Linked DNA regions of Nothobranchius furzeri. The protein of the gene in region 5 interacts with the protein of the main gene of each other region in a pairwise test. Links are inferred from orthologs where the notes say so. Each region holds a gene or a part of one and is shown on either strand. Other genes may lie near its edges.

The links.
Region 1: the proteins of trip6 (region 5) and ppp1r16a interact in binary tests that used the Homo sapiens proteins (3 or more experiments, as listed by UniProt). The two-hybrid records come from large-scale screens. The link is inferred for Nothobranchius furzeri from reciprocal best matches to the Homo sapiens genes TRIP6 and PPP1R16A.
Region 2: the proteins of trip6 (region 5) and pom121 interact in binary tests that used the Homo sapiens proteins (3 or more experiments, as listed by UniProt). The two-hybrid records come from large-scale screens. The link is inferred for Nothobranchius furzeri from reciprocal best matches to the Homo sapiens genes TRIP6 and POM121.
Region 3: the proteins of trip6 (region 5) and bysl interact in binary tests that used the Homo sapiens proteins (3 or more experiments, as listed by UniProt). The two-hybrid records come from large-scale screens. The link is inferred for Nothobranchius furzeri from reciprocal best matches to the Homo sapiens genes TRIP6 and BYSL.
Region 4: the proteins of trip6 (region 5) and hoxa1a interact in a two-hybrid assay, tested with the Homo sapiens proteins (2 studies listed by BioGRID and IntAct). The two-hybrid records come from large-scale screens. The link is inferred for Nothobranchius furzeri from reciprocal best matches to the Homo sapiens genes TRIP6 and HOXA1.
Region 6: the proteins of trip6 (region 5) and rho-related GTP-binding protein RhoQ interact in a two-hybrid assay, tested with the Homo sapiens proteins (2 studies listed by BioGRID and IntAct). The two-hybrid records come from large-scale screens. The link is inferred for Nothobranchius furzeri from reciprocal best matches to the Homo sapiens genes TRIP6 and RHOQ.
Region 7: the proteins of trip6 (region 5) and hoxa9a interact in binary tests that used the Homo sapiens proteins (3 or more experiments, as listed by UniProt). The two-hybrid records come from large-scale screens. The link is inferred for Nothobranchius furzeri from reciprocal best matches to the Homo sapiens genes TRIP6 and HOXA9.

Annotation. Positions count from the first base shown.
Region 1 is NC_091747.1:54,993,099-54,996,705, reverse strand, and holds part of ppp1r16a (protein phosphatase 1 regulatory subunit 16A), read right to left. Parts: intron 2,098-3,607; 5' UTR 1,458-2,097; coding exon 1,211-1,457; intron 958-1,210; coding exon 887-957; intron 1-886. UniProt on the Homo sapiens protein: Inhibits protein phosphatase 1 activity toward phosphorylase, myosin light chain and myosin substrates.
Region 2 is NC_091750.1:52,614,971-52,619,294, forward strand, and holds the start of pom121 (nuclear envelope pore membrane protein POM 121), read right to left. Parts: upstream 2,853-4,324; 5' UTR 2,720-2,852; coding exon 2,154-2,719; intron 1,674-2,153; coding exon 1,467-1,673; intron 1,310-1,466; coding exon 1,160-1,309; intron 1,067-1,159; coding exon 986-1,066; intron 901-985; coding exon 729-900; intron 647-728; coding exon 558-646; intron 479-557; coding exon 399-478; intron 301-398; coding exon 179-300; intron 106-178; coding exon 6-105; intron 1-5. Other genes in the region: polyubiquitin-C, read right to left, coding at 4,133-4,324. UniProt on the Homo sapiens protein: Essential component of the nuclear pore complex (NPC). The repeat-containing domain may be involved in anchoring components of the pore complex to the pore membrane. When overexpressed in cells induces the formation of cytoplasmic annulate lamellae (AL).
Region 3 is NC_091743.1:46,638,478-46,642,617, forward strand, and holds the end of bysl (bystin), read right to left. Parts: intron 1,394-4,140; coding exon 1,291-1,393; intron 1,208-1,290; coding exon 853-1,207; 3' UTR 564-852; downstream 1-563. UniProt on the Homo sapiens protein: Required for processing of 20S pre-rRNA precursor and biogenesis of 40S ribosomal subunits. May be required for trophinin-dependent regulation of cell adhesion during implantation of human embryos.
Region 4 is NC_091751.1:29,552,015-29,556,350, forward strand, and holds the start of hoxa1a (homeobox protein Hox-A1a), read right to left. Parts: upstream 2,902-4,336; 5' UTR 1,734-2,901; coding exon 1,133-1,733; intron 775-1,132; coding exon 395-774; 3' UTR 1-394. UniProt on the Homo sapiens protein: Sequence-specific transcription factor. Regulates multiple developmental processes including brainstem, inner and outer ear, abducens nerve and cardiovascular development and morphogenesis as well as cognition and behavior.
Region 5 is NC_091742.1:54,147,261-54,151,346, forward strand, and holds the start of trip6 (thyroid receptor-interacting protein 6), read right to left. Parts: upstream 2,859-4,086; 5' UTR 2,738-2,858; intron 2,736-2,737; exon of another isoform or gene 2,630-2,735; intron 2,264-2,629; 5' UTR 2,224-2,263; intron 1-2,223. UniProt on the Homo sapiens protein: Relays signals from the cell surface to the nucleus to weaken adherens junction and promote actin cytoskeleton reorganization and cell invasiveness. Involved in lysophosphatidic acid-induced cell adhesion and migration.
Region 6 is NW_027223037.1:4,057,927-4,062,238, forward strand, and holds the start of rho-related GTP-binding protein RhoQ, read left to right. Parts: upstream 1-1,475; 5' UTR 1,476-1,692; coding exon 1,693-1,834; intron 1,835-2,041; coding exon 2,042-2,100; intron 2,101-4,312. UniProt on the Homo sapiens protein: Plasma membrane-associated small GTPase which cycles between an active GTP-bound and an inactive GDP-bound state. In active state binds to a variety of effector proteins to regulate cellular responses. Involved in epithelial cell polarization processes.
Region 7 is NC_091751.1:29,595,216-29,599,498, reverse strand, and holds the start of hoxa9a (homeobox protein Hox-A9a), read left to right. Parts: upstream 1-1,482; 5' UTR 1,483-4,222; coding exon 4,223-4,283. Other genes in the region: homeobox protein Hox-A10, read left to right, coding at 274-548. UniProt on the Homo sapiens protein: Sequence-specific transcription factor which is part of a developmental regulatory system that provides cells with specific positional identities on the anterior-posterior axis.

The DNA.
Region 1 (3,607 bases), on a different chromosome or scaffold from region 5:
CGTTGTCAGGTAAAAACTCTTCACTGCATTTGAATTTAAATCTGACATCGCCATTGGCTAAGAGGTATGCTATGATGTAAACTGGTAGATTATGATGTCACAATGTCGTGAGTGTGTGTATTTGTAGTGGCTCCACCCTCTCCGTCTGCTAGGCAACAGCATTTGTTGCATTTTTCAAACATGAAGTGGGAGTGAAGTACGCTTCTTGTAAGGGGTGACTTGCTCTTTAAGTTAAACCAATTTATGTAACACCAGCCAGCCAATCACATCTGATTGGCTAACAGCAACGCAACTCTACTCAATTCACTATGCAACGTTGATGTTTAATCTCCACAAATAACACAAGCCTGAAGGAGTTCTGCTGCGTGGTTGCTAATGCTAATGGTTAGCTTCTACTAGTCAAGATGTTCTCTGCCGTTTCCTGGACGCTAAACCGACCAACCCCATCACAAGCCAAGATGAGCGAGTCCATGAATGTTAAGTGACAGTGTGACGTAGATCTGTCAGGATTTTCTAATCCTAGAGTTTCACCGTCTATTTTCTATCAGAAGCTAAAGCAGGAGATAGGTGTAGGAGACTATTTTCATGTTCCGCCTGCATGAAACACTCAAGAGTAACAGATTATAAGCATAAATAATAATTTAAAAATATTTTTCAGTGTTTCACAGGTTTAAGGAAAATGTGATTATTTTTTGTATGAAGTATTGCTGGTGACCCGTTAGCAGTAGAGCTAACGGGAGCATGTTTGAGTGCGGGCAGTCCATGTGACTTAGGAGCTAAATGTGGGTTACGGTGACCAAAGTTACTTCTCAGTCTTCTTTTGTTTCCAAATATGAAAAAAATGCACACGAACAATAGCACCAACTACTTCAGCCGAGGTGTGTACCTGATGCAGGGCCGTCAATCCATCTTCATTTACCAGATCTGGGCTCACACCGCTGTTCAGCAGCTCTGTCACTAAAAAAAATTTAAAAAAATCTAATAATTAAATTAAATGAAGGTACATGATACACACACAGACACTGACTGACCAATGGAATCTTATATTCTGCTCAACAAGGAAGAGATTACACTATAATTAGCCTCAATCCTTCAGGCAACAACAAAACCCTTTGAAAAGAAAATGTTGAGCCCATTACAGGTAATGTGTGTCGTATCCAGAGGAGTTCACTTCATTCAAACAGCTGCACATGGTGTGTGGTTAACTTACCCTCCTCCACGTCGTTTCGTGCAGATGAATCTAGGAGAGTGACGGAGTCAGGAAACTTTACTTTGGTGGTGCGTTTCTTCTTCCTGTCTGCTTTGGCCCGCGACCCTCGCGTTGCATCTTTTTCCATCTGTGCCCAAGCCTTCAGCTGCTGAGCACGTCTCTTCTGGGCATGTTTTAGACGTTCTGTGGCACTCAGACGTCCAACAGTTGCCATCTCAGCCAGCAGCTCACTGTGATCTGCTGCCATAGCGAGCAGCGATTGCTACTCTGCTGTTTTTCCACTTAGCTTTGAGAATATTTGATCTTTTCTCTGATTTGGGGATTTAAATTTTCAAGTCTCTTCAGCCTTCACTCAGGCCAAAAAGGCCTACATCACGGCCTTTTGTAACACCCAAAAAAAACCCTTTTCACACAAGAATGTGCATAAGAAATATTTAAACCGTGACTAAAAAGGTGATCATCTGATTTTTTTCCATTTTTATAAACACTTATGGTGTCAGAATAAAATCGTAGCAGAACGATGTCCGAAACCTAACAATCCAAGGTTTTAGCCATTTTCCAGTCCTTCCATCCATTTCAACTGTGGCCAATTTTGCAGTAATACATTCAAAAATCCAAACAGGAAGATGAAAAAGTGCAAATATTAAACTCAAACTGATACAGATTGTGCCAAAGACCTCCATTCAACATGGGAAGGACATTTGAGGATCCATGTGGGGAAGAATAGATCCATCATGCAGAAATAAAGATGTTCAGCAACAACTTAAGGAATAAAATCCTCTCGTTATAAACAGAGAACATTCCCTAACTTGTTGTTGGTGTACTTCCTTTAGATGAAGGGCTGGTATGATGGTTTCAGTGACTTGGTCCTCATCCTTGGCGACATTCTGTTGGAAGACAGAGAAGACGTGAGAGCTACGTTACATTCTAATGTACATGCTGCACTCCCAATCCCAATATCTTTAACCCTTGAGCTCCTTCCTCTCCCGCTGCTCTACTGAAGGAAACCCGAGAAGGTGGGACGCTTTTCATTAATGATTGACACTACTGCAGTCCAACACAAACTTCAGCAGGTTGGGGACATCCACAGGGTGAAGCCAAGAGGGAAAAGTGGTTATAATCTGGAGTGCAACATTCTGTTTCATTGTAAAAACTAATGTAAACTCTAGCAAACTCACTTTTTACCTCCAACTTCCAGTGGTATTACACTGCTTGCACACGCACTTGGCTCTTTCCAGGCTGCTCATTTATTATTTAGGCCTTGGCCTGTGTACGCCGAGAGGAAGGTCAACTAGAGGCACCCGCTAAGATACAGAGAGAGACTGCTAAGACTGTGGTCTTGAGCCACAGAGCTACTGCAGCTAGCAGCCACTGAATAGATGAGTCATGTTTAGGGTCATAAATCAGCTGATTAGAGGACAACATGACTGGCAGAAAGCAGGAACAAAGCTCCTCCAAGACTTTTGTTTATTACAAACAAAAAACTATATACAGTACATGAATCTAGACTAAATTAAAAAGTAAACAAATTGATATACTATTCACTGAAACTGAACTTGAGGTTTTGTTAGGGTTTTCCTGACCCACTGAAATCTTAACTACCGCTCAGGAAAGGGACTATTTTAAGATGACTATCCTGTCAGCTATTGTCACGAGCTATGTAAGGATTTCCTTAGATTGAGTTAAAACCCAACACTCCCCTATAGGTTTGTACGGTCACTGTATGCACCGTGGATAAAACAATGCACTAATGACTGTTTTTTCAACAATGATGACTATTTAACTGATGTAAAGACTCAGTATTACAGCTGGACCAGGACATTGCACCAGAGCAGGGAGAACCTTGGCTTTAAGCAAAAAAAAAAACAACAAAAAAACAACTATAAACAATAATCCTGGTGGTGTTTGCAGGTACGGATCCCAGCTTGTAATCCTTCCCTCCATTATCTGTACCACTTAATTCATACTAGGGTCAGAGGGAGTAGACAGGTGGGGGGCACCATGGAGAAGTTGCCAGTCCACCACAGGGTCATATAGACCTACTCAAGTGTGGCTCGAATGGTTTTGGTCCAGTTGGACGGCCTTTTCTGTAGTTTCCCCCACAACCTTTCAGTACCGGAGCCAACGTGGTTCGAAGTGTACCAAGCCATGTCAAAACACGACGTTAGCAATTATTCACTGACTGGAATGGGAGTGGAGTCAGTGGTTACTTCAGAGTGTTCCGCCTGCAGCCGTTTTGGGTTCAGTGTAAGCCTGAGCGATTGGACAAATTTTTTAGCCAAGCCCTTCGCTGTTCATTTTTTAATGAGTAACATTTTTTATGTCTATGAATTAGTCTCAGCTAGGATTCTTGTGATTCCAGTGATATGTCGCAATCAAGGATACAATCATAACTGT
Region 2 (4,324 bases), on a different chromosome or scaffold from region 5:
CTTACCAGTTGTTTCCAGGACTTTTTGGATTTTACTGATAGCAGCTTTTTTCTCTTCGTCTAGATCTTTGGCTGTGATGGTGTAGCCCAGCTCAGGAGGTGGAGGCTGCACATGAACAACCACAATAATGCAATCTGGATGCAAATAAACAAATGTGAGGGAGATCAGCGCTCCTCACCAGAGAGATGCGATCATCTCGGTGGCTGGACACCAGCTGGATCTTCCGTTTTCTCTTCCCACCACTTCCAGTCGAGTCTGCAGAGGTTGTGACTGGGGATTTGATCACCGGAGTTTGTTTTACTGCAATATTATGAAACAACATCATATTTGTTTGTGACCATACTTTGAACATGAATCATCTAAATTGGAAAAGTCATCTACAGATAAATGGGAATTACTGGTATCAAGGGTCTTGTCTGATGCAGTGTGGTCCGACTTCACTGAGGATGCAGAGCTTGGAGACTGAGTGTCATCCTCTCTGTTGATTAGAAAACATAAAAAAAGCTTTAATTTGTAGTTAAATGTGGTTTAATGATGACAAACATGCAGAAACAGACCTGGGTCTTTTGGCAAATCCCTCTGGAGTCTGAGAGCGAGACGATTCAGGGCTCGATAGAGGAGAGCTGGGTGCAGATGGTTTCTTCCACTGTAAAGAAAAACAAAAAATGCTTCGATTTGCTTTTGCTATGCAAAAACCCCCTTTACTAGACTCCGGTAGATGAAGATACCTGACTAAAACCTATCGAAGAGCTGTAGGAGCTTTGGATTGCATTTCTTCTGGTACCCGAAGTTCCTCTCGGGGCATGAACTCCAGAACTAGAGCTGATGGAGGAGGTGCGAGACCTCTTCATGGTGGTCTCGTCTAAGGATGCGGTCATCCCTCTTTTTAGGCTCCCTGGTCTGGAGAACATTAATAAAAACAACATTTAAAGCTTTGTCCAACATCTAAGATTATGATTCAGCTTTACATACAATTCTTACTCACTTAGGGACCAGCTGGGATGGTGCTCCATTAGGCAACAGAGGCTCAAAAGCAGAGTGCGAACTTCCACCGCTGTCATTGCGCCTAAGAAAAGCCATAAAAAGAAACCATAAGACAGCTGCTATTGTCCAGACTGAGCAGACAGTACCTCAAGAATCTATTAAACAAATTTTCTACCTTCTTTTGCTTCTTTGCTCAGCGGTGAAGCTCCTGTCCTCATCCTCTACTTCCCTCTTGCGGCTTTCCTTCAACACCTTGAGGACGCTCTCTCTGGAGCAGGGGTCTGCCGGGACCCTGGTGAGCCCTGCACAACTCAGATGATTCACACTAAAAACCAGAGCAGAGGACAGTCAGCACTGATTCGGCTGAAAGTAGCAAGACCTCAAGCAACAAATCAAGGGCTATCCAAATAGTAAATTAAAAGACAAAAAATTAAAAATTAAAAATAAACGGTCGTGCCCAAAAACATTTAACCTGCAGAGACCTGGGAATGTTGTGGTCGGGCCTGGCGATCTTTACAGTGACGGGACTGAGAGCAGCAGGGGAATTTCGAGGACTCAGGATGTTCTTTTTTCTGAAACCATCCCACTTGACAGGAGGCAGGACTCCTACTGAGGAGACTCCAGGCTGCTGAAGGGGGTAGCGACGCTGGGGGGTGATGGTGAACCTGTTAGCTGCACCCAGAGGCTCCCTGCAGAGGAGATTGTAATGGAAGGAACAACTTCAGCAGGTTAAAACGTACAGATGTTATGGAATAGAAATAAAACAATATAAAACAATCACTTTACATGTGAAACATGCAGCTGCATAGAAAAAGAAACTATGCTGCTCATCCTAACCAAAAAGTAAAGATATGCACTTTAACGAAAAGTTAGTAAAATGCTCTGTTAGTTTTTAGACAACACAAGCGTGTAGACACAACAAGCCATCAAAACAAAAGATTTATCACAGTAACTTAGCTAAAAGCATGAGTAAAAGAAGCCAATGAAACAAAGTTATTGGATGTTTTTAAAACGATTCCAAGTTAAAGAGTTCTGGTTAGAGCTTTATACGTTTCAAACATGTGGGTTTTGTGTGCTAACAAGCTAGCTAACGCTATAAACATTTCTTTTTCATGCAACACGTGAATTTAAACAGATGGATCAGAGCTTAATAAACCTAATTAACTCACCCAGAGAACGAAAGCCTCCTGTTCGGGGTATAAACTGCATGGTTGGGTCTGGACAGTTGTTCTCGCAGTTGCTCCCGGGGATTTCTCCCGGCTTTTGGCCTCCCAGAGACGGCCGCTGGACTTTCGGCTTTCCCGATGTAACTCCCCATGAGAAAATCCCGAGGGCTGAAAAGAATCGAGTCACTTGCTAAGGCTTCTCCTCGACAGAGCCCGGTTTTACTGAGCTTCGGGAGTCCCTCTGTCTCCCGGTGATGGTGCTCGGATCGGTTGCGGTTCTTCGTTCTACTCCGCGCGGCCACCGAGACGCCGGTCGCTGTCCAACCCGACGACCAGCGCCGCAGCACGCCCGAAACGTTTAATCCAACCCGAGGATTCGGGCCTAACCTGGCGGGAAACGATTCTCCGCTGTGATAATAAAAAGCAAAACAACAAGCTGCAAAAATTAAAGTAGCGTACAGAAAAGTGGGGATGTAGTAAAAAGCGAAGGTGATTAATCCTAAAACAGAGAGAAGCGCTAACTGTTTCTCCCTAGGTGACATGGCGGTAGCGCGCCGCCTCTCTCGCATTCAACATGCTGCTGCTCTATCCAACTGCTCGCGCGGCAGCGCTCCCTACCGAGCACAGGAGCGAACTACACCATCAATCCACACGTCACCGTGCACACTCGCCTATGCACGCAAGCACACACTCACAGCAGACTTACCGCTCAGGGAAATAGCAGACTCAGATTCTGCAGCATTCTGGAGGGTTTCCTGTTAACCGCGATCATTAGATGAAAAAGGAGAGGAGGGCGTTTTTTTCAAGGAGGCATGGGGCAAGCGGCTCCGAGCGCCAACTTGTCACATCGGCAGGTGAGTGGTTGAGCCAGGTGGAGGTGCGGCTACCTCAGCTGGAGACCAGTGCACTGCAGCCACGTGGTGATTTGCTGACAATGTCACGTTTTTCAGCTTAGCCATCAGCTGTGGCTGATTCTAAATAAATGTGGAGCAGTTTTTAACCTGAAGATGGAGATATAAAGTTTTGGGCCGAAATTAAATTTAAAGTTGCACCAAATTGCCACACTGATTACACATCTACAGACAAAAAAGTTAATTTAGATGTTACTCTTAAAAGTAAAAGACTCATGCGGAGTTAAAAGCCATAAAAAAGGGGTTTCAAAAGAGATTTAAAACAAGACAGCGATGATGCCAACCTAATATTTAAAGGCAGCACATTCCAGACTACACTAAAAGCCCCCACCTCAGAGGCTAGGTCTCATTCTTGGGACTTCCAGGAGCATCCATCTCATCAGCTGACCTTAGACCCACAGGAGTAGAACAGCAGCAGCTCAAAAGTAATGTTGAGTAAGGCCCTAAGGCCATGCATAGATTTTAAAGTACCTTATACTGGATACTAAAGCAAGCAGGTAGCAGTGCATTGATGCCAAGACAAGGGTAATGCTCCATCTTTATCCCAGTATTGTAACCTTCGCTTTAAATTAAACGTTAGGTTTCACAAACATGTTTTGATGACTCTTCCCTGCTTGTGAAACAATTTCAAAGATAGATAAGTCTGAATTATTTGCTGTAACCACAAATACATATACTTCCTTCTGAAAGCTCAGATCTGCCCTCAAAATATGCTAACATTAAGTTTTACATGCATTTGATATTTATGAGCTGTTAGTGTGGAGATCTAGTGGGATTTGGAATTAAGTTTGAGATTTAATTTTGAAGGCAATTGTGGCAGATTTTTTTTTGTTAACACCGTTTACATGTTGCCATCTAAAATTGGTCTATTCTGCAACTTTTAGAAGTCTGTTTAATTGGCTTCAGGGGAAACTGCTGAACAATTTTTGTAAAACATTTCAAATGAAAGCAAAAGCAAATTTAACCTTTTATTGTGATAACGGAACATTTTTGGTCACAAGTTAAAAACAAATGTAACTTTTAATTTCCAAGCATTACATGGCAAATGAAACCAACTGTGGAACCATGACTTTACTGCCCACCCCTCAGACGCAGGACAAGGTGGAGGGTGGACTCCTTCTGAATGTTGTAGTCTGAGAGGGTGCGGCCATCTTCAAGCTGCTTGCCAGCAAAGATCAGCCTCTGCTGATCTGGGGGGATGCCTTCCTTGTCCTGGATCTTAGCTTTGACATTCTCAATGGTGTCACTTGGCTCGACCTCCAG
Region 3 (4,140 bases), on a different chromosome or scaffold from region 5:
AGTTTGTTTCTGTAAAAACGTGTTTTAAGGATTAACTTTATACTTTTTCTTCTTTAAATGCACAACACGTTCCCATCTGTAGTTTTGAAAATTTATAATTTGGCAAATATGTTGATTTAAGTTGTATTTATGTTCATTTTTATCATATAACATTTTCTCCAATAACTTTTTCACATTTTCAAAGAAAATTAGATATAATAATCGAATTATAATCAAAAAGGCTGAATCATAACTTCAGTAATAATTTGTTCCCACTGACGCCCATCTGCCATCTTTAACTGGAATTTTTACAACCAGCTCTGTAATGACACATTTTGTTTGTGCAACTTTCATTTCTAACTCTGCAAATTTTAGCACGTACCCTTTGCTCCAGAAAAAACATCTAGAAAATCATTTTTGCTCCATGTTCATACCTAGAAATGTGCCTCTCAATTCCGCATTTAATCTTTGCTATAGTGCTCCTAATAAATTAAATACTGAGTTACCTTTCTCAGAGAGGCCTTTTCACATACTCCATGTTTCTGGTTAGCGAATGTTAACTATAAATTAAAATCAACAACCAATTTATGAGGTATAATTTGGTTTTTATTCTGACAGGTTTCAGAATTACGACTTTAATCCGAAAGGAGTTTGTGTTCCCAGGCTCAGAGACTTGTGTTACCGTTGTGAAACTGCAGCTACATCACCACTGGTGAGAGTCTCACTTGTGAAAACAAGTCAAGGCAGAACACAGAAAACATCTCTGAGGTCCATAAACAAGTTTAAATTCCTCCTTGTATATGAACAACAGCAAAGTCTGTTTTGTAAAGAGGGAACATGAATGTGGAGAATGGTGCACCACATCAGACTGAATCAGTCCATTTCAACCATTATAGGGAGCCCGATTTCAGTGTCTCTCGACTCAGAGTTTTGTAGCTCCCTGCGAATTTCTGCAGAAATCTGCGGGTGTGTTTGTATCTTGAGCAGCTCCATCAGCGCTGCCTTCTGCTCTGAGGCCAGGTCAGCCTTGTAGCGCTGGGCCAGGGTGAGCAGACTCTGATGCCACAGCACAGGAAGAACACGTTTTTCGTTGCGGAAAGACAGGAAGTGGGCCACCAAGGCATCTAGAACACGGAAAGGCAGGGCGTACTTTTTGTCAAGCAGCAGACGCAGGAAAATGCTGTTGGCACCGTTGTACTCCATCTCTGCCAACTTAAGCATTGCAGCGCTGAAAGAAAGGACAGATCACACAAGTTATGTAACAGCAGACTTGATTTAACACATGTGTGTTTTTGTGTGAGGAGGTCCAACCTGGAGTGCAGCACAGGAATGGAGCATTTTGTGAGAATGCTCCCGATGATGATGGCTTCCCTCAAGGTGCATGTCCCAGACTCACATAAAGGAATCAGGATACCTATGTTATAAGGAATCAGGTATTAAACGCACGCTTCAGTGATGTTTAGAGCAGCATATATCATATTATCACAATGGTACATGACTTGTTTACAAACCAAACAATGTAAATGAGTCTTTGTGAGTCACAGGAAATGGGAAAATCCCTGAAAAATGTCAACCAACGGAACTCGGTTTGTTTTAAATTTGCAGTTGCACAACCATAAGTAGCGCAGATCAGGTAGCAGCTAAAGTGTCGCCAATTATACGTGACACTCATCAACAACAGTGGAGGCCGTAATCAGAGCTGTTTGTAGAGCGTAATGCAATGGATACGTCAGAGATGAAACAATATCTGTGTTTTTAAAACATGATCCTGAAACACTTTAAAGGAGGAGGAGTGATGGGAGGCTGCCACACCTGCTACAGGTTACAACGCAAAACAGAGCCTCAGGGAAAAACATCAGTGGAGACAAGGAAGGAGAATAAGCTCACTTTTAGCTTATATATATTTTATACATCATTAAAATTATGTGTTAATTATCCTACCTGTTCATTTAAATGTGTTTTTTTTAGAATTTACTCTTATTTCTACATTCCATTAGACTGCTTAGTGCTCCATGTCAAACTCTGATGTAGGGACAGGCCGCTATATTGGGCTGATATATACCACTTTTATAGAGCCAATTTAAAAACGGGCACATCTGTGGGCAGCCCGGCGATGCTGCCAAATTTTATTCAAATGTATACTTACAAGGGATGCACCAATATGACATTTTAGGGCCGATACCGATATTAATATCCCTAATATGGCAAATACTGATACTGATTGTGAAATTATGCAAGCTGAATTTTTGAATGTTTTTTTCTATAAAGTGCAAACTAGATATTATATATATATATATATATATATATATATATATGTGTGTGTGTGTGTGTGTGTGTGTGTGTGTGTGTGTGTTTACAATATTATATACACACCACACACATTTACGCTTCTGAGATGATTACCATCACTGTCACATGAATAAACAATTACAGATAATCACCCCTCCTCCCTCTGAAACAGATGCACAAATGGAATCATGTTGGAAAAATAATCGGTTGTTGATATTGGCCCAGTTTTATTCGTTGGACCAATGTGATATGTTAACAGATGACTAACATCGGCCATACCGATACTGACGCAGACATATCATGCATCCCTAATTTTACGTTCCTGACTAACAAGTGCTTGATAAATGCTCAGTTATATGTAATACTTGGTCAGTTTATTGATGTGTGACTCTGGTTTAATGTTTCATCCTAATACTGATCAGTGTACAAGATTAAGATTCAACAAATGGTTAAAATCAGAGTTCAAAAACAGTTAATGATCTATATTTGTATAGCTCCTTATTAGGGTTCGACAACCCCCCACGGCGCTTCACAACACAGTCAGTCATCCCCCCATTCACACGCTGGTGATGATGAGCTAATTGGAGCCACAGCTGCCCTGGGGACCTGTCCCCATGACCACCACCAGCAGAAACTGATTCAGGTTCAGAAATGTTGAGCATCAACAGATGTTATTAGTGACAATTTAGGATGCAGATATGTTAGAAAACGTCTAGACATCGGCCATGAAAATCAACCCAAAAAACAGGAGCACATATCAGCCATAACTGACCGTGACCTCTACATATGAGCATCAGTATCGGCAATAGAAAAACCATATCGGTTTATCTCTATAGTCTGATGTTTACAGCTTCATTAGTTTAGATGAACACACAGAAATCACATTGTGAAAGTTTCATTAAATTTGCTTTGATATGACCAAGATTGATTTACTGAAGCTTAAAGAGATCTTTACCATTTTGATTTCAATGTCAAAGTGATCTACAGGTCAGAGGATTTCAGATAAAACTCTTACAGGTATTTTAATAAACAACAAACCTTCTGCTGGAGCTTGAGTTTGAAACAATACATTAATTATGGCTCAAGCTTCATTAAAGGTGTTTAACATACACGCATGTCTAGTTATCCTTTAAGATCTGTGTCAAATGTTTCAGTCAGTAGGATGGAAGCTGTAGTGGGTGAGAACTGGAGTTAGTTTATCATCTACCACCATTTATTAGTCTGAACTGTGGATGGAAAAACACCCATCACTAGTTCCCAGTATGATGGATCTTAGAGCAACACTGCCACCTAGTGTTTAAGGCTCAAACTGAAGTTATTTTGAATTCAGGTCATGGATTGTTAAAGTTAAAAGTTAAAGTCCCATTAGATGTCACACACACAGGTGTGTGTGCGAAATTTGTTCTCCGCATTTGACCCATCCCCTGGGGGAGCTGCAGACACAGCTGCACTCTGGAACTATTTGGTGGTTTAACCCCCCAATCCAACCCCTTAATGCTGAGTGTCAAGCAGGGAGGCATTGGGTCCCATTTTTTCAAAGTCTTTGGTATGACCCGACCAGGAATCGAACCCCTGATCTCCCAGTCTCAGGGCGGACACTCTACCACTAGGCCACTGAGAAAGGGTAGAATAAAAGGGTAGAGAACAGGAGAATGTTCCCTTCAAACTGCAGGGATTTGTGTTTTCAAACAAATGAAATCAAAAGAATGTTTTTAAACATCTGATTCCACATATAAAGCTTAATTTGACCTATTAATTAACACTTTTATCCAGCCAGAAAAATGGTGTCACTCCTTCAACAGACAGCAGCTAATCCTCCATTAGCATCCTCAGTATAAAAATAATAAATCATGTACAAAAGTCACAACTGTG
Region 4 (4,336 bases), on a different chromosome or scaffold from region 5:
TAAAGTACCGCAACTGATAAAACTCAGCGCCTCAGGCATCGATGCACATCAGAGTACACGCGCGCGTACTAGGTCATTGCGTTGCTCACTTAACAGCACCCTGCGCTGCATACCCGCCATGACCCGGATACACCACTTTACATTTGTTTTCGTTTGCAGACTCGTGTCTGCCTTTTTTTGCTCACGTTACAGATCAAACTTATCTGAAGATACAGAGATGTTCTTGCAGACACATTGCACAATTTAAACCTAAAGCTCCAGGGTGATCCAAAAGCTCCCGGATGGAGGACTAACTTTAATAAATGTTCACACAATGTCATTCACGAACAAAGACTCTGGTTTTGATACATTTAAACGTTGGTATTTACAGGCCCGTGTGGCCCAGATAGGCTGCTCAGGTAGAGGTGTACGTGTCCGTGCCAGTGGAGGACACCGTGGATGAGCTGGGAGAGGGCGTGGACGGCGCTGAGACGGACCTCTCAGAAGCGGCATCGTCTAATTTCTCTTGATTTATTTCTTCCGGGTGCGATGACTGGACCTTAGCCGGCAGCATCCCCTCTTTCTCGCGCTTTTTCTGCTTCATCCTCCGATTCTGAAACCAAATCTTCACCTGAGTCTCATTCAGCTGCAGCGCAGCAGCAATCTCCACTCGGCGCGCCCGGGTCAGGTATTTGTTGAAGTGGAATTCTTTTTCCAGCTCTGTCAGCTGCTTGGTGGTGAAGTTGGTCCGGACGATGTTTGGCTGGCCCGCATAGCCGTACTCGCCGGAGCGACCTGGGGACAGGAAGAGGGATTCAAGTTTATTTTCTCACCCAAAGGACGCACAAACTGTGCGATTATCCAAAAGAACCAACTTTTACGCAGCAGGCAAAGAAAACCTAATTATTTTACATATAAAACACACTCTATAGTTAAAGACAAATGTCTTTAAACCAACTTTTAAAAGAAAGGGGCGCACGCTTGAAGTGGAAACATGGACATTTAATGCGTTTGCGCGTCAACGCGCTCGCAGTGTCAACATCTCCTGTGTGGATTCCAGTCTGCTTGACCGATTAAAACCAATTAAAACCAATAATAGCAACAGACTAGATTCCCACCTATCTCCCTCGTGCTGGTACAGCTCTGCACCCACCTGTTTTCGGTGGATTTCTTTTGACTTTCATCCAGTCGAAAGTCTGCGCAGAAGATGCGCTCTCTGACAGAGGTGAGCAGCAAGCTTCCAGGTGAGCTGCATGCAGAGGTGACAGCGGGTTGGAGGCCCCAGGATAAGAAGGTGCCTGTTCATGACCCCCGCCATAAGCAGCATACTGCAGCTGGCCCAAGGTGGCAGCACTGTAGCCATGGCGATGCTGAGACACCATGGAGGAAGAGATGTTACCTGAAAACATCAAAGGGCTGCACTGGGGGAATGCAGGTGCAGAGTCTACTTCCTGGTTGAGTGTGTAGTGGTTGTACGTGGCGCAGAAACTTTGGGGCCCATAGTTAGAGCCACAGGCCGGGTGGGCCCCATAGGAGAGACCCATAGAGGTGGCAGTAGGCTGGTAAGAGGCCGGCTGGTGAGGGATGCTGTCAGGGGAAGTCCTGTTTGCCATGAAGTGCTCATCCGCCCCGCAGCTGCTGATTGCAGCCCCGCAGGACTGGAAAGTTGTAATCCCGTGGTCCGAGTGGAAAGCCCTGATCGAACATGAGCCACCCTCACCGCTCATCACCGAGTAATCTAGGAAGCTGCTCATTGTAGCATCGTTAGTCTGGGACCAGGAGACTGTCCTCTCCCCCTCTGATCTCTCCACACTCTCACCCTAAAGTGACCGTGCCAACCTTTACCTTTCTGTCCCTATCAGTGCAGGGAGGGGGGTGCTGGGGATATCAATGAACGGGCACTGTCACGTGGGCACGGGTCAGCCAGTGAGGGTCCTTGTCCCTTTAGCCGGTGACAGATTGGTGTTTGAGGGGCTATTTAAATTCCAGGCGCTCGTCGATCAAGGTGACGCGCGTCGCCACTAATGTATTGGCCGAGCAAACAATGGGCTGGGAGGCAGACGGAGGTGGACAGCTCCGGGACACACGAGGAGCTGCTGAGACGGTGAACCCGGTGTCTTTTAACCCCCCTGCTGCGCAATCTCACACTGAGGAGAGATGTCATCCAAGGTGGACCGCTCTGCACTCTGACCTCAGGTATTTTTAGAACAGAGAAGTGTGAGTCTGTGTGCGTGCGCGCGTGTGTTGGCGTCTCCGTGCGTATAAGCCCTGGTGTCGCATGTGTCATTCTGTCCAGGAAGGATGGATGGCTGAGAGTGCGCGCGCTCGCTGCAGCCGCGGGCTATCTTTAGGCTATTAATGTCCCATTCCGATGTGAAATGTTTCACGCTGGAACATTAAGGGATTTTCTGGGCAAATATTGTTACAATGTGATGGAGAGGACGTGTTTCCCCTGTTAAATACATCCATCCCATCGCACCAAGCCACCTTCCAGCAGAATTTCGTTTCCTCTTAAGGTCGCAGCAGGAGCAGGTTTGTGCATTTCACGTTACGAGGAGAGATGATCCGGTCATATATTCATAAAACACCGCAAAAGGATGCGCAAAAAGCTCAAATTACGTTTAAAATGTGCCTGAAGTAGCGCACAAACGTGATTAGGAGACAAAACCATTAAGGTGATGTGATATTAATGTTTTGTTCCGTTCTCGGGTCATAGGTCAGCCATCTACCAGAGTTCCAGTCCCGCATGTATTCATTATGCATGTATGGTGATCAAATGATATAATAATGCGAAGCCTGCTAATGCGCATATGTAGCCCGAGGTGCGAGTGGGCTGATTATCCTGTTAAGTTCATCAAATAAAGCTGCTGGGAAAACGAATGGTCACGGGAGGCGCGAGAGCGGAGGGGAGTGAGGGGGTTGTAGCAGATGCCCAACCTCTAACCGAGGAAGGAATAGAGGAGAGGGAGGGAGGGAGGGCGAAGGGAAGGATCAGATGGAGGGATGAGCGCCCCCTCAGGCTGAAGATAGACATGCACTTAAATAAACGTGCTTCTGTTATTAAGTAGATTAATTCAGCTCAGAAAAGCGTGATTCAGATTTTACACTCTATTTATTTTTCCTACAAACGTCTAAGTTGTCTCACTGGTACTCAAACAAGCAGTATCAGTAAAATATTAGCAACATTCAAATGTGCAGCTTTTTTCCATTAGTCAAATGTAGTTCTACTTTGTCTTAAATGTAATGTTTTAGGATGTTAGAAAAACAAAATTAGATGTGAAAATGTTCAAAGACTTGTTGCAAACTACATAGCAGAGGGAGGGAGAGAGAGAGAGAGAGAGAGAGAGAGAGAGAGAGAGAGAGAGAGAGAGAGAGAGAGAGAGAGAGAGAGAGAGAGAGAGAGAGAGAGAGAGAGAGAGAGAGAGAGAGAGAGAGAGAGACGAACTGGTTTCCATTCCACCCCCACCCCTCTCCAGCAGCTGCCTCTGTAGTGAGTGGGCGCGGAGGATCCATCGCGTCTCTGCTGCTTGAGGCCAGCCGGGCCCCGCGGAGATTCCGCGGCTCTTTGTGTGGCCGCGGGGGCGCAGAAAAGGCGCGCTGTCTCGGAATGATTTGGTTATGCAGGCCCGTAGTGCAGGAGAGCAGCATCTGCCCCCTGCTTCCTCCTACCACCCCCTCATCTGAACACACGCGCGCGCGCGCGCACACACACACACCCACACACGCACACAGCCAAAGTTAGAGCTGATTTTCTGCTTTCGGCTAAGTTTGACACGTTTTGAAAAATCACTGCAGCTTTCATCTCAACTGGTGTTTTTTAGTGATTCTGAGTTAAACTGGATTATTGAGTTCCCATAAATCCAATCAAAGCTGCGCAAGAGTGCTAAAATGTTCATAATCCCTTTATTGAAGTGAGGGGTTTGAAACGCACACAAACCAGTCTTGTCTTTAAATAAAAAAAATCACAGATTCCACCAGTGTGAGTGGAGAAGCGACGCTAAATAAGAGCAGCTTTAACCTGAGCTGCTGCTGCTGCTGTCTCCGAGTCAGAGCCGCGTGTTAAACAAGCCATAAAAATGAATTATTACCAAACGCACGCAGAGAGCTCGGCCCCTTTTAGCTTAGGAATCGGGGAGTCCCGCATGAAAACGTAAGTGGGGTTTTTATTTGTGCACATTACGCCACAATTGCTCTCTTTAATGTCCGCCTCATTCATGCCACGGAGTGATTTATGAGCTCCTGAAGGCAAACATGGGTCGGGTGTTTGCTTGCAACTTGCACGCCGTGTTTGGAGCCTTGTCATGCTCAGATCCTGGGTGCAAATTTGGTCTTCTAATTATTTATTCCTGCAGCTGAA
Region 5 (4,086 bases):
CCTAACAGCAGCGAAATCAAAGGGATGAATTCCACCTGAGAGACGTTCCGGACACTCTTAATGAAAGGAGTCGTAGAAATTAAAAACATAAAGTTGTTGGTACCTTTAGGAAAAAGGTTTGTGTAGATGGTCAGTGGTCCAGGACATGGGAATCTTAAATGTTTAGTTGGAACTGCTGGATCTTTCTTGTTTTCCTTGAAAACGTGTCAGAATGGTGCCGGTGTTTCACTGATATTGCTGGAGGGCCCATGACCTGAGACAAGCGTTCTAGTACTGGGCAGATCCAGAACACCTAAAGCCGAGCGTGCCCTGTATAACTGTCACCGTCCACATGCAAACGACACAAAACAGCCTAGCACCAAAGATTGTCGAATGAGTGGAAAATCAACCCCAAACAGACCAAAAATGGCAGAGGACACACAGCTTTAAAGGTCTCCAGATTTCATTAAACCCCACAGATTAAAGAGCAAGTCAACCCCTACCAGAGTCTAACTCCACTCCCACTTCATGTTTGAAAATGCAACAAATGCTGTTGCCTGGCAGACCGAGAGGGTGGAGCTGCTAACAAATACACACACACTCAGGCTCACGACAGCATTGTGACATCATAATGTACCAGTTTACATCATAGCATACCTCTTAGCCAATAGCAGTGGCAGATTTAAATTAAAATGCAGTGCAGAGTTTTTACCTGACAACGGCACAACACTGCCAGTTTTAGGCAGAATATTTAAATTTTAACTAAGATGCACTGAAGTGCCAAATTATTGACGACACGTGTCTGCAGCACGATTAGACACTCGTTTATTTAGTTTATCAGCAAAAAAAAGTTTATTTGGGGGTGACTTGCTCTTTAAAGACACCTGGTGACCCAAACCCCCTTCATGCCTCACAGTAGCTACAGCATTCTTTTCTTTGCTCCAATGTTTGTGTCTGCGAACACAAAAATCAACAATAAACTGCACCTTAATTATGGGAATGGGGCCGGCACGTCTGACCTGTTGGCCAATCAATTTTGCCACAGCAGAGGCGACGACCCTTCCCCTGTTGATCAGGTAAGATCAGCTAATTTGAGGATGCTAATAGAGATTACAGAGAGAAGGAGACAAACCTAAAGGACATTTTTTCAGCAGTAAAATGTGTTGGGTTGTGGACAGAAGACTTGTTGTGGACTATTTTACTGGAGGACATTGATTTGACCCGTGTGGGTGTAAAGACTCTGTCCTGTCGATTTAAAAAATCTTGATGAACAACATTTGTTTTCCCCCCCCAATACCAAAAACAGAAGTTATAATTACTAAATTACAAATGTTGAAAATGACTTAATGAAACGTGTTTTCCAGAACAAGAATAAATGGCAGACACAAACTCCAGAGACAGACTGCAGACACCCAAACGAGCCATGTGAAATCTGACACAAGTGCAGTCCCTGTGCAGAAATGAATAACCCACTCACACCGATTGGACGTGGGTGGTGTGACCCTCCTCGTGGTTAAGAGGATTATAATGTCAGATCAGATGTCGATGTAGCTTCATATAAATACATTTCAGACAGGAGATTTGAACCCTTAACATGATGTTTTTTTTACTGGTTTTAACGTTCAAATTAAAGATATGTGATCCATGTAAAACCAGCAGATTCAGGACTTGTTAAACTGGAGTTCACACTGAGGAAAGGGTGATCACCACCTGCGCAGTGGTCCCGATTAAAGCGTTTGTCTGAATCCGGATGAGCACACAGTCAAATCTAAGGCAGACTGGCCCAGGGAAATTAATCTCCATGGTTTCATCCCCCTCAAGGTTTGGAGCCAAATGTTTCCTATGGAGCATGCATAACAAATTCTACTTATTGTTCAAACTGTCTGCATAGAGTAAATCATCAGTACCAAGTCCTGAATTGGATGAAAGACAATAAATATAAAGAACTTCCTACTTTTAAATTCTAAATAAAGCATATCAAATGTTTGTGCAACGCAATAACCCAATAAACACAATAAGTCGTCATTTCCTGTTGCAAATCTCATATTTACATTCATTATTTAATTTTACAATTAGGCAACATAAAACACTTATTTTCGAAATAAAAGATAATGATAGTTAAATGTTTGTTTGTGTGCCAGTTACTACTGATAAAGATATAAAAACATAAATTACATAACTAAAAATAAAAAACACCACTGTGCTTCTGGTCAGTTTTTTCAAAATAAAAATCAGCATTCCTACCTTCACAGTGCTTTTACTGTCGCCTGTCCTTAGGTCTCATCTACACACAAATAACAAAGGGGGGAAAAAAAGGCTGAAACAGAAAAGCAGATAAACTCACATCCGTCTGAGATACTGTCCCGTTTTTAGCTCCGCAGCAGCAACGATATGTCAAACCAGAGAATCTGTCTGGTCTAAATCTGTCTGTGCGTCACGCATGTGCAAATCACCGCACTTAAGTGATCAAACACTCCATAATGAAATAAAACTACCCGTAATTAACTTTAATAGCAGCCTTGTTTACATGTTTGCTAGCATGTCATGAATCCGAGAGGTGCTAATCACGGCGGGGAGCTTATTTCGGCACAACACCGGGCTAACTTTCATCACGACCAAAAAGGAAACGATGCGGCAAACCGCCACCTACCGCCCGAACCGAGCCGCACAAACACGACTTACGAGTCCATTTAAACGTTAACGACTTAGTGAAAGTTGTCCTGAAGACTTGGCTGTCGTTGAAGCGTCGTTAACCTACTTTTGTCACGGATCTGAAGGCCTTTAGCGAAGACACCAATTCCTCGCTGCATTCCCAGCGCGTGACGTAGCTCTGGATGCGCGCGCGCGCCTGTGTACGAGCACGAGAGGTGGTGTTGGGAGGAGGCAAGGGGTTGGAATAAAGGAAAGTTTACCTTTTTTCACAAAAATCTCTCTCTCTCTCTCTCTCTCTCTCTCTCTCTCTCTCTCTCTCTCTCTCTCTCTCTCTCTCTCTCTCTCACACACACACACACACACGCACGCACGCACACACACACACACACACACACGCACGCACGCACGCACGCACGCACGCACACACACACACACACACACACACACACACACACACATCTATCTATCTATCTATCTATCTATCTATCTATCTATCTATCTATCTATCTATCTATGTGTGTGTGTATGTATATATATATATATATATATATATATATATATATATATATATATATATATATATATATAAGTAATAAAATACATCTAAATGTCCCACTATAATTGGAAAAATATGTAAATATTTTAGCCGTATTGAGCAATTATTTTAAAAGTTTAGAAATATATAAATGTACTAAATATCTAGTCTCGTCTTCTTCTGCCTATTCGGATCCGGGCAGCGAGGGCAGCATCCCAACCAGGGAGTTCCAGGCTGACCTCTCCCCAGCCACCTCCACCTGCTCCTCCAGTAGGACCCCAAGGCATTCCTGGGCCAGTTTGGAGATGTACTTTCTCCAACGCGTACTTTCTCCAACATGTCCTGGGTCGACCAGGGGACCTCCTGCCGGCAGGACATGCCTGAAACACCTTCCTGGGCAGGCGTCTAGCAGGCATCCTAACAAGATGCCCAAACCACCTCAACTGACTCCTCTCGATATGGAGGAGCAGCGGCTCTACTCCTAGTCTCTCCTGAATGTCTGATCAAATAAACTAAATATCTCTGCAGTAATTGGCATGATCCTTTGCCTCACACAAACAAGAGACTTCACATGTCAAATATACTGTTTATTACCAACTAAAGCTGTGGCAAATGAGTAAAAACAGTTAGTGTTGTAGAAAAATGAAAGAATTGTAATGCTTTAGCCTTATTTGGCTCATTTTACCTAATGCTTTACATAAAACTCATCTGCAATTACTCCCTGAGGTCTCCGGCTGTGATAACCCCTGTGACTTTTGCCTGATCAGACAAAACCCCACAGAGCTTCTTGTGACGTGTCAGGAGTGTTGGGCCTCTGCGGCTGTAAGGGAATGTATTTAGTCCTCTTTGGTTTTCACACATGCTTCTCTTTGTGCAAATTTAACATTCACACCCAGCAGCAAATGTAACATCTTTTCTGA
Region 6 (4,312 bases), on a different chromosome or scaffold from region 5:
CCTGTCAGTGTGTGTGACAGCTAATGGGACTTTAACTTCATTCTTTGTCTGTGATAAGCGCCATATAAATAAAATATACTTACTACGCCAGAGCAGCTCAGATAAACACAAACATCATGATGATGTCACTTTCTGCCAATATCTGACTGCTCAAAGGGCCACAGGTAATAACTGTTGTCTATGACCTTTGACCTTAAACTAACTGCATGTTTAAAGCCACGCCCCCTCTATATGTAAACAGATGGACACACCCACAAATACCCTCAGGCAAATGCAATCATGAACAGTAATTCCAGCTGATCAACATGACATTGCTACATTAGCCGCTAAACGCTGCCCATGAACACAAAGAACAGTCCCATGATGCTTTGCACCTGTGACCCCTGCCTCTTGGGTTTCCACACACCTGTATGTTTTCATACCTGATTGCACTTATTTTAAATTGTGTTTAAACATTTAACACGTCATATTTTAAAGGCACACTTCGCAGCTTTGCTTGCTTTTAGCACCCTCTAGTGGCCGTGTATTAAAACCAAAAGTGAAACTCCTCGCTGTGCTTTAGTCTTTTTAACACCTTAATCTAATCGCGCCTTCTATAGTGTCTACAAGGCTGGTTCATCACTAAATCAAATACATCAGCTGTGTTCATGATCTAATGGAATGCAGGAAACATGCTGGAAGCAGAATGCAGCGCCGGGTATGTCATCTCCATCTGCTTCAGGTGGCGCCTGAGAAGGGTCTGCAGCCAAACTGGGTGGGTGAGGGTGAGTGACATGTCATTAATCCTGTGAAGGGTCATTTTGGAACATAATGACTCAAGAAAATTATTTAAAAATAAGAACAAGTTACATCGTGTGGCTTTAAGATTCAGTCTCTCGTGTCAATAAAAACAATAAAATAAGAATAAAAATTAAATTAAGAGTTTTCCTTGTTATGGGGAGCAAAAACAAACGTTAGAATTCTAAATATGGAAAAACGTGTTTAATTATAAAATGTGTTTTATGAGCTAAAAGTGGCTCAACGCTAGATGTTAGCCAGGAGCTAACACACACGGATGTGGGACTGATGCAGAACACCTGGCGTGCCGTGACGTCACACACATAGTTTAGCCATTGGGGTTGTTTAGATTTATTCCGTGAGTTTTATGGTGTTTCTCATGTGTGTGACCACGTGAGCCAGGTGTGAACTGACTAATTATCATCTAAAAGGATCAGATGTTTGAGATTGTGAGTGAGCTTTAATTAACCATCGCTCTGATCTTCATTGTTTTCCAACGGATTATAATCCAGATGATGCCGTTACTGCAGGGCATTCCCACCAGGCGGCGGAGGCGGGCTTCTGGAGCCTGTTAGCCACGCCCCTCCACCGAGCTCACACCGCGACAGCGCGCAGTCCACCGGGGATCGACGCGGAGCTGGGGCGCAGAACCCACCGGGCGGGGAGCCAGTACCCGACACACTACACTGACACCGGAACCACTGAAGCAGTTCGGTTATGAATCCGGTGGGGAGTTACTATTGAACCGGACTGGACCCGTAACCGGAAGAGAGATGCTGATCCAGACCGACTCGGTGCGCCTCCGGGGCTGGTGATGCCCACCGAGCAGGGATCTCCACCCAGCAGCAGGAGGAGCGGCTCGGAACCACAGCCTGTCGGGGTGCAGAGGATGGTGCTGGTCCGGTTGAGGACATTATGGCTAACGGAACCGGTACCATCATGTTAAAATGCGTCGTGGTGGGAGACGGTGCGGTTGGTAAAACGTGTCTGCTGATGAGCTACGCCAACGACGCCTTTCCGGAGGAGTACGTTCCCACGGTGTTTGACCATTACGCAGGTAGGGCCGGTTCCACTGGGCTCGGATGGGTTCTGGTCTAATGAGGCCCAGGTGACCACCAACTCCGATGCTCCTGACATCAGAACCACTTGTTTGCCTCCTTCATTACAACCGGGGGGGGCTCCACCCACCCAGCCCCTCCCTCCAAGGAGGACCCCCCACCCACACACACACACACACTCTCTCTCTCTCTCTCTCTCCCTGCAGTGAGCGTGATCGTGGGAGGGAAGCAGTACCTGCTGGGACTCTATGACACAGCTGGCCAGGTACAGTTAGCCCCCCCCCCCCCCCCCACACACACACACACACACACAACAGGTGATGGGGTGCTGGGCGGGTGGGGGTGGGGTGGTGGGTCAATGGTTCCATTATGGGGAGAACAAGCGTGCAATGTCCAGTAGAGATGTCACGTGGACTTATTCTCTCACTGAGAGGAGTTTGTACTGAAAACACACACACACACACACACACACACACACACACACACACACACACACACACACACACACACACACACACACACACACACACACACACACACACTGTATCCTTGTGTAAACCGTCCATTGACTTCCATTCATTTTTGTGACTGTATTATGCCTAGCCCATACTCTAACCATGACCATAACCAGTGCTGTTCTATTTCTAATCCTATTCTAAACAAAAGTTAATTCACACCAAACCTCTAGAACCACGTTTTAGGGTATTTTGTCATCGTGTGGACCAGCCAGATGTCCCCACAATGTGGAAATGTCCACACTCTACAGGTTAAAGTTAAATTTGTCCACTTATGCTTATAAAGACAAGCACAAACACACACACACACACACACACACACACACACACACACACACACACACACACACACACACACACACACACACACACACACACACACACACACACACTTAGACATAGCAGCATAAATATTTTGTATAAAAAAACCTTTTGTATGAATTATCATTTATTTCATTTGGATGCTAATTAGCGTCCCTAAACAATAATCTAATTGTTGATATCCTTTAGCTAATTTCTGCTTTTCCAGTTTTGTGGTTTATTATTATTATTACCATAAATCCTCTAATACAGGCCGGTATTCAATTAAAGGCCGGGTCTCCAATTTTGGCCGGTGTCGGAGTCGGCGGAGGTGAATAATGGCCGGCCTCTTATTGTGGCCGGGTGGAATGTGGTAACAAGCAAGTACGGGGGCGGTTGTGTCATCGTCTCACTTTTGATTTGCGAGTGATAGACCGCGAGGGTAACTTTAACCGTGCGGAGACGAAGAGGAGGCGAAAATTTGATATCAAGTTCAAAGAGACCGTGCGCTGCAGAACACTGGGGAGCAATAGGGGTTGTATGAACTAGTCGACTTCACTATAGTGACTTTTTATGCCTGTCGTCGACTAGTCGCTGTCACGAGATAATGACCGGCAAGATGCAGCCCTCGGAAAAGACAGCAGCCTGCTGTCAGCAGGTGACAAGCTCCTGCGCTCGGGGGGGGGGGGCAACGCGCTCTGCCAGAGCGTCGGTACTGACACGCGATCGTTCATGTCGGTTCATTTCCTTTAATGTTTTCTGTCTTTTATTTGCACCTGATGTGTTTCGCTGCTGTGGAGCGGGGCACTTCACCTTGTCCTCCGACGCACTGATCACTGATGCGGCCGCCTAGCAGGGAGCTCTCCGCTGTTTTTGCGGTCGGTAATCTGCCTCCTGAGCACGGCCACAGTAACAATCAGGTGTTGCCAAATTATTTAACACGCGATCGTTCATGTCGGTTCATTTCCTTTGATGTTTTCTGTCTTTTATTTGCGCCTGATGCGTTTTGCTGTGGAGCGGGGCGCATCAACTTGTCATCCGGTGACGCACTGATCACTGATGCGGCTGGCGAGCAGCGAGCACTCCGCTGTTTTGCGGTCGGTAGATCTTTTAGAACTGCAGTTCAAAGGTAACTCATGAGGTGAATATATATGAACCCAGGTAGCAGTTTTTCTTTAGGATTGAGAGGAGATGCAGGAAGATAATAAACAGACAGGACAGAAAAATAGTCAAATAAAAACAAGTTAGTTTTTGTACCTGGTGATTGCAACAAACGGACACCATTGAAGGTAATCAGAAGTGAGGAACAGAAAATGAAATAATTATTTTAATGTTTAGAGCAGCAGGCACTCCGAGAGGCTGCAGGCGCATCAGTGAGTTTGCGGCCGCTGCGCAGGGGGAGGGGGGAGAGGGCTGAAGCAGAAACTACCGTTGTTAAAAGAAATGTGTTTAACTTTGAAAATGTGGGCGCAATATTAATTGTCAAAAACTCCAACGAACCATTAGTTCATTTTGCTCAAATAGAAATAGAGGCCTGCCTCTAATACTGGCCCTCCTTCCAATAAAGACCTGGAGCTTGATTAGCTTGAGTCAAATACAGGCCCGGGCCTGTATTAGAGGATTTACGGTATTATTTCAACTGAACTTATTGAGAGACTGATC
Region 7 (4,283 bases), on a different chromosome or scaffold from region 5:
TATATATATATATATATATATATACACACACATTAATATATATATATATATTCAAAATTGGCAAAAGTGCCACCACAGCGAGTGCCTGAGCTTGTGTGCCAACCCTAACCCAATCCTTTGAATTACGTTTGCAGTAAAATTCCCAGCGCCCATCATTTTCACGCAATTTAACAATTTGAACCTAACAAATACGGATGCTCGTATATTGATTTGCTGCTTATTCCAAATATTTGCTACCTGTTGCATTCACCATGGATGTCATGTTGCTTTCAGGGGACGCAAAAAGTGAAAACACGGCCAACTGGCTGACTGCAAAGAGCGGCCGAAAGAAGCGCTGCCCGTACACCAAACACCAGACTCTGGAGCTGGAGAAGGAGTTCCTCTTTAACATGTACCTGACCCGAGAGCGCCGCCTAGAGATCAGCAAAAGCGTCCACCTAACGGACAGACAGGTTAAAATCTGGTTCCAGAACCGGAGGATGAAACTGAAGAAAATGACCCGGGAGAACCGGATCCGGGAGCTCACGTCCAACTATGGCTTCTCGTGACGCGCGAGAAAGTGGTCGAATAAAAGCAGCAAGAGGAAAACTTTCCACCTCTTTATCAGTCTCCTTTCATTTCACTGAGACGTGACCTTCTTTTGTCTCTAGACACGCTCCACGTGAGCGCGTGTCTAGAAAATCATATTGAAGTCACACACACACACACACACACACACACACACACACACACACACACACACACACACACACACACACACACACACACTGTAAAGTGGCTGATTTGATATAATTTTTTTCTGCATGATGTAAAGATTTCCTACGCTGACCAGATGTGCTCCATCATGTTATCATGTAAGCTGTAGCCTCAGCCAGGACGCGTGAAGGACGATTTTAATGTATATATGTGTTTTTGTGTCATGTCTAATAAATTATCATCTGATGAGTATTTCTGAACCACACATGGATTTTTGTCCGAGCGTAGCCACCAGAGACTTTTTATTTTAAAGGAATTAAACACAATGATACTCTGGGCTCATGCACATCAGAGGTTCACTTGTGTGTTTTGTCTGCAGCTGCTAAAGAACGGAGGTGAACGCTAGTGGAGGGTCGGAAATAATTAAGATATTAGGCTGTAAGCCGCGCTGCTGCATGCCCAGCCGGCTATTGTAGAGTTTTATGACTGGCTGCTATAGAAGCTTTCTCCCTCTCCTCGAAGAGCAGCGTCAGTCGTGAGTGAGCCTTTCGGACGGAGAGGAGGCCCGGCTCACAGCCATACACACACACACACACACACACACACACACACACACACACACACACACACACACACACACACACACACACACACACACACACACACACACACACACACACACACACGTGGATAAATTCTGCTCCAAAATCTGGAAAAGCCACCGAGCATCCGGGTGAGTCTGCTGTGATTTTTGATTTTTCTGCGTCTTTGTTCTCGTTGTTTTGATCTTCGTTTAAAAAGAGGATCTGGACACGTGCACGAGCGCCACGGCTCGTTCTGATGTGTCGGGTCGTGTTGCTGCCGAGGCCCGGATGACTGTGAAGTGGTTTAGGTAGTTTCATGTTGTTGGGGTGCTTTTCTGACTCTACAACAGGAAACTGTCTGGATCGCCCCAGTCCCAAACACCGAGAGCGAACCGGAACCGCCTGCAGCTCAGATATCATGGGGAGGATAGAAAAATCGGTGTTTGGAAAAGCAAGCCTCTGGATGTCATAAACCAGGGAGGGGGTGGGGGTGGCCCGCGGTGTTTTCTCAGATTCCTCCTGCTTTGTTTTTGTTGTGCTGCTTAAGATGATGCATTTGTCTGCTGGTCAGAGCTCAGCTGCAGTGTGCGTCGTGGACTTGTGACTAAAAGCTGGGAGTGTTTTTCTTCTCCTATTTTTTCTAGTGAGTAGTAGTGAGTGACGCAGAGACGCCAGACAAGGCCTCGGTTACGACCACTGCAGTGGAGGGGAAGGGGAAGGTGAATGGGGCAACAGCGACCTCCGTCGGCAATAAGACCGGATGCTTCCACTGCGCAATGGTGGCTCTCACAAAGGGAAGGGCTTTATGGCGATATTTAGATCCGCCAGACAGGCTGTTATCTGCAGAAGCAAAGAGAAGTGAATAGCCCCTGCGGTAAACTGCAGGGTGAAGAAAACACCCTGATTTAGGTTTACAGCCTGAGAGCTGTTGGCAGAGTGGCGTCTGTTCCTGCTGCAAAAGTGTTTGTCTATTCTTGTTTGTCTATTCTGGATTTTAGTGCACAAAAAGGCGCACAGCCGCCCCTATCCTGAACGCATCTTCTGGTATTAAACTGTGCAAATGGACAGCGGGACTGTGCGTAATTGTGCGATTTTCTCTGACTCTACGTGCGATTTTAATCGCAACAGCAGAATTCAGATAATCTGTGCGTCTGGGATTCTCTGTGGCCTTGTAGGGGTGTTGGCCAGCTTCTCTTTTATTTGCGAGCAATAAATAAACCACATAAATGAAATAAAAAACTCAAGGTTGGCGCAACAAAAACCACCGAAGTCAGTTAAGAAACGCCAAACTGCACACGTACCCTACACACATAATCTTTTTAAATTTTCAGTTTTTAAATAACAAGTTGGCTAAACCCTTTCTAGGAAATTCGCGCTTACTACATACTAATGTAATCCCGTGGATAAGGAATTATATAACAGCTGCGTAACATCCTAATCACGTATGTATTTTCAAATATTGTCCAGTTTTCCAGCGCGTCGATGTTTCCCGTCATAATCATCATCAAAACAGCGTTTTATAAAATAAAATACTATTAAAAACAAAAATGGACAAACAGTTCAGTCCCTGCAAACTCTCCGCACCACCTCCATTTAAAACATGGGAACTAAACACCATTTAAAGATTATTTTTAGCGCCGTTTGTGTGTAAAATTACGCCAAAGCCCAGGCAGCTGCAGGTACTAACGCACTCGTTAATGGCCGCGATGAAGCAGCATATCCGCGATAACGTGGTGCAAAAGATAAACAGATTAACTCTCTGTATTTTATTATTTACTTTTATGAACAAGCACATTGCTTTAAAATGAAACTATATTGTGGATTTGTTTTTGTTTTTTAATATTTTGACTTCTCCAGATAAACTCTAAAAACTCAAACACACATTTAGCAAAGCTGATGAATAAATCACTTATTATTTGTTAAAATATCTGAAACGAAGTCCGAGTCTTGAGCGCATTTCTGGTAATTTATCCAAAATGTTAGAATACGCTTTGTTTCCGCACGGCTCAGTGTGTTTCAGATTTTAAAATAAATAATGCTTTGTTCTTAAAATAATATCTAACGGGTTCTAGATCCTCTTTTTAAATAAGAAAACGTTTAAATAAAGTGTGTTAATGTTGTAAAGTGGACACACAAACATTAATAATAAAGCATGTGTTAGTCTGTATGCGGGGATGTATCAGAGAGGCCATTTCAGGTTTTTATTTACAACATTTAAGAAGAAAATCCTGGGAGCTAAACGAGAATAAAATATTTAAACGTTATTAGTTGACGGGTTTTACTCGTTTCGTCTGAAAACTCACCTGCTTCTGAACGATGTTGAAATGATCTGAGTGTGTCTAAAACAACAGAACCTGAGCTGAATTCAGCCTTTTTGTGTTTTATTAATGATCGCAGCTTCCTTCACTGAGTTTGCTGTATTGGCAGCAGAGGAGCTGCTTACGTGTCCAATAAACCATCCCGTAAAAATAATCCTCCAAATACATGTAGTATGTCTGAGGACGGCGCTGCTGAGAGCAGCGTCACCTTCATCAGCATTTATTTATTTTTATTTATTTTCTGTGTCGTTCGTGTTTATTTTCCCTGTTTTTACATTTCTGACCAAATCCCGATCGTTGGTAAAAATCCGGGTTGTTACAGCAGAACGGGTGAGTATTTAATGACTGCAGGGATTGATTTATCTTTTATTGTTCAGCCTTATGATCACGTGACTCCGCTGTCCAATGGCGTGGCGGCGTGTCTCCCCATTACTTTCCCACTGTAGTTCTCCGTGGGGCCAAGTTGCTACTTGATTTCTCCACATTGTTATTTTGCGAGGCTCTTTAGTGCGCGCGCGCGCGTGTGTGTGTGTCAGAGGTGTGTGTATGTGTGTGTTTGTGTTTTGCCCTTTTGCATGTATCTGCTGTATGACTGCGTACATGTGAAAGTGCCATTTTTCTGCCATGTCGACGTCCGGAACATTGACTAGCTACTACGTCGATTCCCTCATTCTGCCCGAGAGCG